2 linked regions of the Oryctolagus cuniculus genome follow. The protein of the gene in region 1 binds, or shares a complex with, the protein of each later gene. Links are inferred from orthologs where the notes say so. Each region holds a gene or a part of one and is shown on either strand. Other genes may lie near its edges. The genes, in order: ACTL6B and DPF1.

Region 1 (4,357 bases):
CAGAAGCCAGGAACTCAATCCAGGTCTTCCACACGGGGGACAGGGATCCAAATAACTGAGTCATCACTTGCTGCCTCCCAGGGGTGCACACTAACAGGAAGCCGGAATCAGAAGCAGAGCTGCGACTTGTACCCAGGCACTCTGATGTAGGATGCAGGCATCCCAAGTGGCGTCGTAACCACTATGCCAAATGCCTGCCCCTCAATGATTGACTTAAAAAGGTGAATTTTATGTCATGTGAATTTCACCTGAGAAAGAGTAGTGCCTCAGGTTGTGAAAAGAAGAAAAGAGTGGCTGGTGCTGCGGCTCACTAGGCTAATCCTCCGCCTGTGGCGCCGGCACACCTGGTTCTAGTCCCGGTTGGGGTGCCAGTTCTGTCCCGGTTGCTCCTCTTCCAGTCCAGCTCCCTGCTGTGGCCCAGGAGTGCAGTGGAGAATGGCCCAGGTTCTAGGGCCCTGCATCCGCATGGGAGACCAGGAGGAAGCACCTGGTTCCTGGCTTCGGATCAGCGCAGTGTGCCGGCCGCAGCGGCCATTTGTGGGGTGAACCAACAGAAGGAAGACCTTTCTCCTCTCTGTCTCTCTCTCACACTGTCTAACTCTGCCTGTCCAAAAAAAAAAAAAAAAATCTAAAAAAGAAAATAAGAAAAGAGCAACCAGCAACAAACTTTGAAAGTTAAGGATGAGATCGGTGAGTAGTAACTGACTTAACAGATTTACAAATGCTGTAAGGCAGTACTGGGAAAAGCCAGGAACAACCTGTACTGAGCTTGGAACCCTGAGAGAACTAGAAATGGGCGCTGTCAGCTGGCTCTGGACGTGGGGGTGAAAGGAGAGCTAAAATCAGATTGTTTAAAGCCACTCAAGAAACAGAAAAGCGATCATGGATTCCCCAGCTCAGCCCTGATTAGCATACATAGTAACAGGAGGCTAAATAGTGAATACTGATCTTTCAGGAAGTCTAAGCCAGAACTGTACTTAAAGGTGGGGAATGAGAAGTATGTGTGATATAGGCTAGAGGAGGAGAGAGCTCAATGCTCTTTTTTCTAGTAGGAAATTCTTAGATGATGCCTAATATAGAAAACCTGCAAACAGCAATGTAAGTGTGATATTGGGAGATACGGAAAGAAATACAAAAAAAAAAAAAAAAAAGATAACAGGGAGAAAAGCAATGGCATTTGGAAAAGGGGAAATGGAAGAGGCGGCAAGAACTGCAGTGTTTCTTCTTAACATGTTTTACAAAGCAAATCGACCATATGTACTACAACTATTTTCAAGTTAAAGGATTAAAAAAGAACTGGAGAGGAGAGGGGCTTATAGAGCAGGAAGAGAAAGAGGTAGAGCAAGAGGAAGACAGGTGGCCCAAGATGACAAGGCTGGAAGGACTGTCTGAGAAAGGACAGGTAAGGGGTGGGAAGACTGTGCTGGGGCCCCAGGGCACTCACCGGGGCCTCTGACATGAGCACGGGGTGCAGGTTTGGCTCAGACTTGACGTGTTTGCTGTAGGTGTGATCCAGGATGGCTCGGAAGCACTCCCAGTCCTCAACTGGGGCCAGAAAGACACAGGTGAGGCGGGGAGGGGTCAGCGACGGGAAAGGAAGCAGGGAGAGACGCCAAGTCCAGGGGAGGGGGAGTTCAACTCCAGAGGAAAAGCCCCTTCCCCACTCCCGGGAATTTGGGGCTCCTGGGCTGGGAACCAGGCAGCTACAGGGGGCTCTGAGGAGGTCCCTGGGACTTGGACAGTTGTGAGGAGGACTCCGTGGCTGTGAGACAGAGTCCCACGGGCTGGGAGTGGGCTCCTGGTCTGACTCAGGGTCGGGGGGGGGGGCCCTTACTCATGCCGTTCTTGAGGGGCGACATGACCTCCGCTCCATCCCGAGGCACGTGCAGGGCATTGGTGTCAATGTGGAAGATCTTCCCCTTCTTCTCTTTCTCCCCCTCCAGCTCCAGCCCGCCCCCCTCCTCCGCGGCCAGCAGCCCCACCGTGGTGGGGAAGTCAGCCTGGGTGGGAGGGGGCAGCATGGGCAGAGAAAGGAAGATCACCCGGTTACCCGTTCAGCCCCAGGGCAGGGTCCTCAGCCCGCCCCTGGCTCTTCTCCCACACTTGCTCAGCAGAGCGTGTGGGCTCGGCTGGGAGAGCCCTGGGTTAGTGGCGAGCCTGGGGAGGATTTGGGAAGAGATCTGAAAGTCTCACCTTGGGACAGTCCTCCCCAGCATACCCGGCGCGGACCGAGAAGGAGCCAATGTCGAAGACCAGCGCCCCCACCTCATCTGTGCGGGGAGACAAGCAGGTGAGGAGACCTTCCCCAAACTCTGTCCTCGCGGACAGATCCGAGAGGAAGGGGGACAGGGCAGAGCCACAGTCCGAGTGGGGGCCTTGGAGTGGGGGTCAAGCCGCCAGAGTTCCCTCCTACCCGGTGGCCTTGTTCAGGCCACTCTCGGGGCTGGGAAGGACGGAGCCAGGGGTCGGGCGGAGAAGGGCTGGATAGTGGAGAGGCTGGGCCCGGCGCGCCTGGGGCGTCCCGGGAAGACAGAAAGTAGGGGTGGCACGGGACCCAAACCTGGGGTCGGACTCGCTCGAGCGCCGAGGTGACAGGCCCCGGGGTGCCCCGAGCTTGGGTGGCGCGGATACGGGGCGCAGGGCTGCGCGCGAGGCCCCGGAGGCCCGGGACCGGCTCACCTCCGCCGTAGACGCCCCCGCTCATAGTGCCCCTCGGTGCGGCTCGCGGCCCGTGGGCGGCGGCGGGATCAGCACCGCGGCGGCCGGACAGCTCCCGGGATCCCGGGCGGGCGGGGCGCGCGGCGGCCAATCGGGAGGCCGGGTCCCCCGCCCCCAACGGCTCCGGCGATTGGCTGCGAGGCGAGACAATAACCCGGCCGGGGGCCGCCGCTTTAAAGGCGCAGACACCTTCGCGCTCGGCGGCGGGGAGGACCCCAGGAAGACCAGCCCTAAGCAATGGGCGGCAGAGAGGAGAGTAGGAGAACGAGGGAGACCTTGTCCTCCCCGAGACCAGGATCCCACAGGGTGACTGATGGGGACCCTGCTGCCGTAGCTTTTCAAATGGGCTGTGGGGTGTGTTGGGGGGAGTGCCACCATCACAAGGTTTCTGTCACACCTAGGCCTGAAGGACGTCTCCCGGGAGTAGAAGGGAAGACAGAGAGGGCGCGACCCGAGGGGGTGTGTCTCCATCTCTTCCCCGTGTCTTCCCACCCTGGTCTCCCTCATGGCCTCTTTTCCTCTCCTGGGCCTTCCACCTACACACGTGCACACATGCACACACAGGCACTCAGCTGGCCTGTCCTTACCCTTCCCTCTCTGCTCAACCGCCTGTTCTCCCTGGGAGGCAATGATCACGGTGTCCAGTTTCTGGTAGGCCCTGGGTTCTTCTGGGCTCCCAGCACTACCAGCATAGCAGGTTTGGATAGCAGAAGTGAAGCAGCAGCTCTGACTGCCTGAGTCAGACTCTGAGCCTGTGCTGGCCAGTGTGGCCGTGTGTGTGTGTGTGTGCATGTACATATGCACATGTGAACATAATGTGTCGGCTGTGTGCATGTGCATATGCACACGTGAATATAATGTGTTGGGGCACTTCTGCACTCCCACCTGCTTGTTTGGGGTTTGGGAGCTGTGAGAACAGAAATGGCACAGGAAGAGGGTAGTGTGACTGCGGCATGTCCCCGAGGGTTCTCTGCTCACTGGTTGCCCCTTGTGGAAAAGACCCAGCTCTTCCCTCAACCAAAGGATGGGCTGAGCTGGCTCATTCATTACTTCCTGGTGACAGTGGCATTGCGCATACCCGCGGTGGGTTCCGAGTCCAGGTCTGGCTCCCCAGACTGGAGCCCTGCAGGTGTCAGTGGGAGGAGTGAGCTGGAGGGGAGGGAAGGAGCTGACCCAGCAGCTAGGAGATTGACATTTTCTCAAGTGACCACAGGCCAGTCACTGACTTCTCTATAATGTGAGGCCTGCATGAACTGCGTGAGCCCGCTAAGCTCCCATAGCCTGTATCTCTTCATCTTCCAAATGCTGGGGGTGGGGGTTTGAAGGGGTGAAAGAGATTCTGTTCATGCTGATCCTCTGCATGCTGTCTGCTGAACACTGAGAAATGTTGCCTCACTTCCTCCCAAGTCAGTTCCACTCCCCTTCAACCTCCATCTCCACCGGCCGTCTCAGAGTCAGGAACTTTCCCAGTCAGAAGAAACCTTACCAGTCACGAGTCCAAGCCCTGCGTTTTGCAGGGGTTGCCCCACATGGAGGCAGGGTGCTGTCTTGGCCACATAGCCCAGCGGGGGCGGAGCTGGGGGTGGAGCCACATCTCTTCTCAGCCAGTGAGATGTGACCTCTGTGTTCCCTCCAAGCT
Region 2 (4,266 bases), on another chromosome or scaffold:
AAAAAAAAAAAATGAATGAATGAATCATGCCTGCACATAGTGTGCTCCACAAATACCACTGAGCACGAAGCAGGCACAGCTCTGTCCTGAGTTAATCCTATTTCGTACCTGTTTTTCAGATGAGGAGTCAGGTGGTCACAGGGAAGTGACCTTACATGCCCTCAGCCCCTGGGGACTGCTGGGCCAGGCCACTAGGGAAGGATTCATGCACCTGGACTTTGATCCCTCACCTCCTGGGTCACACACACACACACACACATGCACACACACACACACTCAATCGACCCTAAGGAATGCCTAGAAGGTGAGCTGACACACTAAGGCACATTCTCCCGTTTCTCTCTCTCTCTGTCTCTCTCTCCACACACACACACACACACACACGCACACGCAAACGCATCCCCCCTTCAAGAGCACCCTAGTTTGAGAGGCTGAGGGAAATAAACACGCCTGCACACCCCTTGTCCACTAGGGGGCGCTCCAGCGCACAGACGGGGCGGGCCAGTCTTCACCTCCTTTGTCAATTGGTCCCCTCCTCCTTGAGCGAGATCCACTCAAGGCCTCCGAAACTCGTGGTCACCTACACACACACACACTTCTAGTCCCTCCATAAACTCTCCTCCATCTAAGCCAGGTAGGGCCTTGACCCGCCCCTCCACCAGCCGCCGACGGGAGGGGTCGGGTGTCTGACTCACATCTGCTCAGAGGACTAAGTGGGACGCGCTGGCACCCCAAGCTCACTCTGGCCTCCAGGCTCCTTTAGTGGCCACCAGACACCTGACCCACCATGAGCCCTGCCCCCCAGACCCAGGCTCAGCACTCTTGCTCCACACACCTGCAGCCACAGCCTGACCAGCCGCCTGCGGCCCCGACACAGCACACTCAGTTTGACCCAGTGTGGCCTGGGTGTAGAGACCAGGTCACCTCCCAGAGGTCCTGGCCCACCAGCGGGATCTGAGCCCACAGACCCAGGCTGGCCCTTGCCTGACCTCAGTCACCCTCAGACCCCTCCCCTCCCACGAGCTCCCAGCCCTAAGTGGGTGCTGGCCCCAGGAGAAATCGTTACTGACCAGTACTGATGAACCAGTGCTGACTGGACTAATCATCACTGCGTTTAGCCAGGGTCAGGCTCCGCACCGATGGCTTCCCAGTGATCACCGTGTTTAAGCCTCGCTAGGCCTCACTCCCGGGAGTTAAGAACCGCTGTAATCCCCAGTTCACAGATGGTAACACTGAGGCGCGTGGGGGTGGGGGAGAATTAATGGCTTGAGCTGGGTTCTGAACTCCCCAGGGGAAAGGCACTGGCCTGGCCCCTGTGGCTGACCTTGGCCTCCAGGCACCTGCAAGGAGTGGCACCCTATTCCTAGTATTCCTCCGAGGGCCTGAGCCAGGGCCAGAGACAGGGCCCTGAGGGCCTGTGGATCCCATGACTGCGCAGGAGCCCCATCCCTGCCTGCCAGTTTGGGGGTGTCCCTCTTGGGTCTGTCTGTGTGCATGCCTTGGGGCAGGAGAGGAACAAGCGGTTGCCACCCCCACGCACCACCTCGCACTGACTCTGCTCGCACAGCAGGTGCGTGCTGCCAAAGTCCCTGCCCCTGCACAAACCCTGCTCGGCCACCTGGCACCCCCAACCCGGAAACCAGGGGCCAACAACTGGAGGGCCAGTGGTCCAGCCACCATACAGAGTCCTCATTAGGAGGGGTGCACTCGCCCACCCCCAGCTCTCCGCGCTCAAGGTCAAGGCAGCCAGCGCTGGGGCTTGGGGGCAGGGTGGGGGAGGTAGCCCCAGCCCCTTTGTGCGGCGCCGCCAGGCGCTCGCCCTCCGCCTCCTCCACCAGGCCCGGGAGGAGGGGGAGGGGAGAGAGGGCGGGAGCGGCCGCACGCCTGCCACTCAGAGCTGCTGTCACCGCCTGGGAAAGGGGGTGGGGGGCGCCAGGACCCAGGAGTCCGGGATCCCGAGGAGGGAACCAGAGAGAGGTGGAGAGGGCGAGGGACAGCAGGCGCCAGGCTCGGACCCGGGCGTCCTTATCCCAAGCCACGGGGCCGAGAGGAAGCCGGAGGGAGGCGGGCGTGGAGAAGGCAGGGGTTCCCCCGAGACGGAGGCGCAGCCCTCCCGAGGGGAGCCGAGACGCTCGGGCTGGAGGTGCACGGGCCGGGAGAGAAGGGAAGCCGCGGCCCCAGGCGATCGTGGCGTCGGGGCTTCTGGGTGCCGGGGACCCGGGGAGCAAAGGGGACTCGACCGGGGGCCCCCGACATCCGAGCCCCCACCCCGAGGCCAGCAGCGCCGGGGTCGCGGAGAAGGCGGAGGAGGTGTAGAGAAAGATGCTCGGGCGAGGAGCGAGGGGGTGGTGGGAACCCCGGAGACTCAGGTCCGGACTTGGGCGTTCGCGCGTCCAGCCCGCTCCGGGGCGGGCCCGCCGCCCCCAGAGACACCGCGCAGCAGATGGAGGCGGGGAGGGAAGCCCCCACCCCCAGCCCGCGCCACATTCCTTCACTGACAGCGACAAAGAAGAGGCGCCCCCGCGACCCAGGAGGGGCTCCCGTGCCCAGCCCCCGGAGGGGCGGCAAAGGGTGACAGTCCTCAGAGGCACGGGGGCGCGTGGGGGGACCCCCATTCCACTACCATCCGCGCGCTGGGTCCCCCTCCCCAGCCCCAGGGAGGGCGGAGGAAGGGCTGGGGTGCGGGGACTCCGGACCCGGGTCGGGACAGCGGGGACACTCACGACTTGAGCGGGTTCTGAATGGCGGTAGCCATGGCCCGCTCGGCTGGGCCGCCTCCGGCCCGGGGCGCCGCTGCCGCCGCGCGCGGGCCCAGCCCGGCCTGCGCCGCCCGCTCTGCCGCCCAGCGCGCTACGATTTCATTCATTCTTGGGGCTGCGGCGCGAGCGGAGCGGGGCGGGCCGGGGGCGGGGCTCGGCCAATCCCCGCGCCTCCCGGCGCACGACGGGACGTGGAGTCTAGGGGCGCGCGGCGGCGCCCGAGGGCGCCCCTGCCCGGACTACACGTCCCAGGGGGCGTCAGGAGGACCGCGCGCCCATTGGCTGCCGGGGATACAGGGCGGGGCGGGGCTCCTCCCGGAGCATCCTCTCCCCCTCCCCGGGGGGTGCTCTGTTCCCAGCCCGGGCTCTCCATTCCCGGGTGGTTCTGAGTCTCCCTGGGGTCTGTGGATGTCCCCAGGATCTGCGGCGGATTCTTGTCTGAGTCTACTTATCGGGGCGTCTCTTCGGGGTAAGCCAGTCTCTGACAACATGGGGGCTCATCCAACGCCTTTGTTCGTGTATTGACTACATGTGCCAGGCACTGGGAATGCAGCAGCGACCAAAGTCAAGTCGTTACTCTCAGGAAGCTGACGTTCTAGTGGAGAAAGACGATTTTAAAATAATAATAATAAAGGGATCTTTTCAGAAAATGCTGAGTGCTATAACAGAATTAAAATAGATTAGTTTGGGGGCTGGCGCTGTGGTGTAGCAGGTAAAGCCACCGCCTGCAGTGCCGGCATCCCATATGGGCGCCGGTTCAAGTCCCGGCTGCTCCACTCCTGTCCAGCTCTCGGCTACGGCCTGGGATAGCAGTAGAAGATGGCCCAAGTCCTTGGGTCCCAGCACCCACGTGGGAGACCCGGAAGAAGCTCCTGGCTCCTGGCTTCGGATCGGCGCAGCTCCAGCCATTGCAGCCATCTGGGGAGTAAACCAGTGGATGGAAGACCTCTCTCTCTCTGTCTCTGCCTCTCTATAACTCTGCTTTTCAAATAAATAAATAAATCTTCTTTAAAAAAAATAGTTTGGTTTGGAGGAGTGGCTGCACAGAGCGGGTGACTTTTGAGTTGAGCCCTGAAAAGTTGCCAGCCACGCATGACAAGTGGAAGAGCACAGAGGCCCTGAGGTGGGCACAGGTGCTTTGTGCAGAGCTGAGTAGGAAGACGTAGCTGGGGCGGGGGGGGGGAGGACCCACCTCCTGAAGGACCATGTGGGCAGCTGATTCTCTCCTAAGTGCAATCAATCATCCCCTACTCTCCTCTTCTTTCTCACATGCGCACGCACACACACACACCCAAGCCCACCAGCAAATCCTGACCTCTCTACAATTCACAGGGCAGGTCCAGCAACCCCCCATCCCTGTCCAGCATCGTCCCTGCATGGATCATGGTGGCGGCTCCATCGCTGCTCTCCCACTGCCCCCCAGTCTGCTCCCACGGCGGCAGACAGCTGTCTAAAACACAGACGCTCAGGCTGAAATCTCCCCTGGCTGCTTTCACCTTCGGAGCCA

What was found.
Region 2: ACTL6B (region 1) and DPF1 share a complex: the UniProt entries of both Homo sapiens proteins name them as parts of the neuron-specific chromatin remodeling complex. The link is inferred for Oryctolagus cuniculus from reciprocal best matches to the Homo sapiens genes ACTL6B and DPF1.

What each region holds. Positions count from the first base shown.
Region 1 is NC_091450.1:42,839,443-42,843,799, forward strand, and holds the start of ACTL6B (actin-like protein 6B), read right to left. Parts: upstream 2,826-4,357; 5' UTR 2,705-2,825; coding exon 2,680-2,704; intron 2,271-2,679; coding exon 2,194-2,270; intron 2,001-2,193; coding exon 1,835-2,000; intron 1,546-1,834; coding exon 1,445-1,545; intron 1-1,444. UniProt on the Homo sapiens protein: Involved in transcriptional activation and repression of select genes by chromatin remodeling (alteration of DNA-nucleosome topology).
Region 2 is NC_091449.1:16,351,932-16,356,197, reverse strand, and holds the start of DPF1 (zinc finger protein neuro-d4), read right to left. Parts: upstream 2,871-4,266; 5' UTR 2,867-2,870; coding exon 2,724-2,866; intron 1-2,723. UniProt on the Homo sapiens protein: May have an important role in developing neurons by participating in regulation of cell survival, possibly as a neurospecific transcription factor. Belongs to the neuron-specific chromatin remodeling complex (nBAF complex).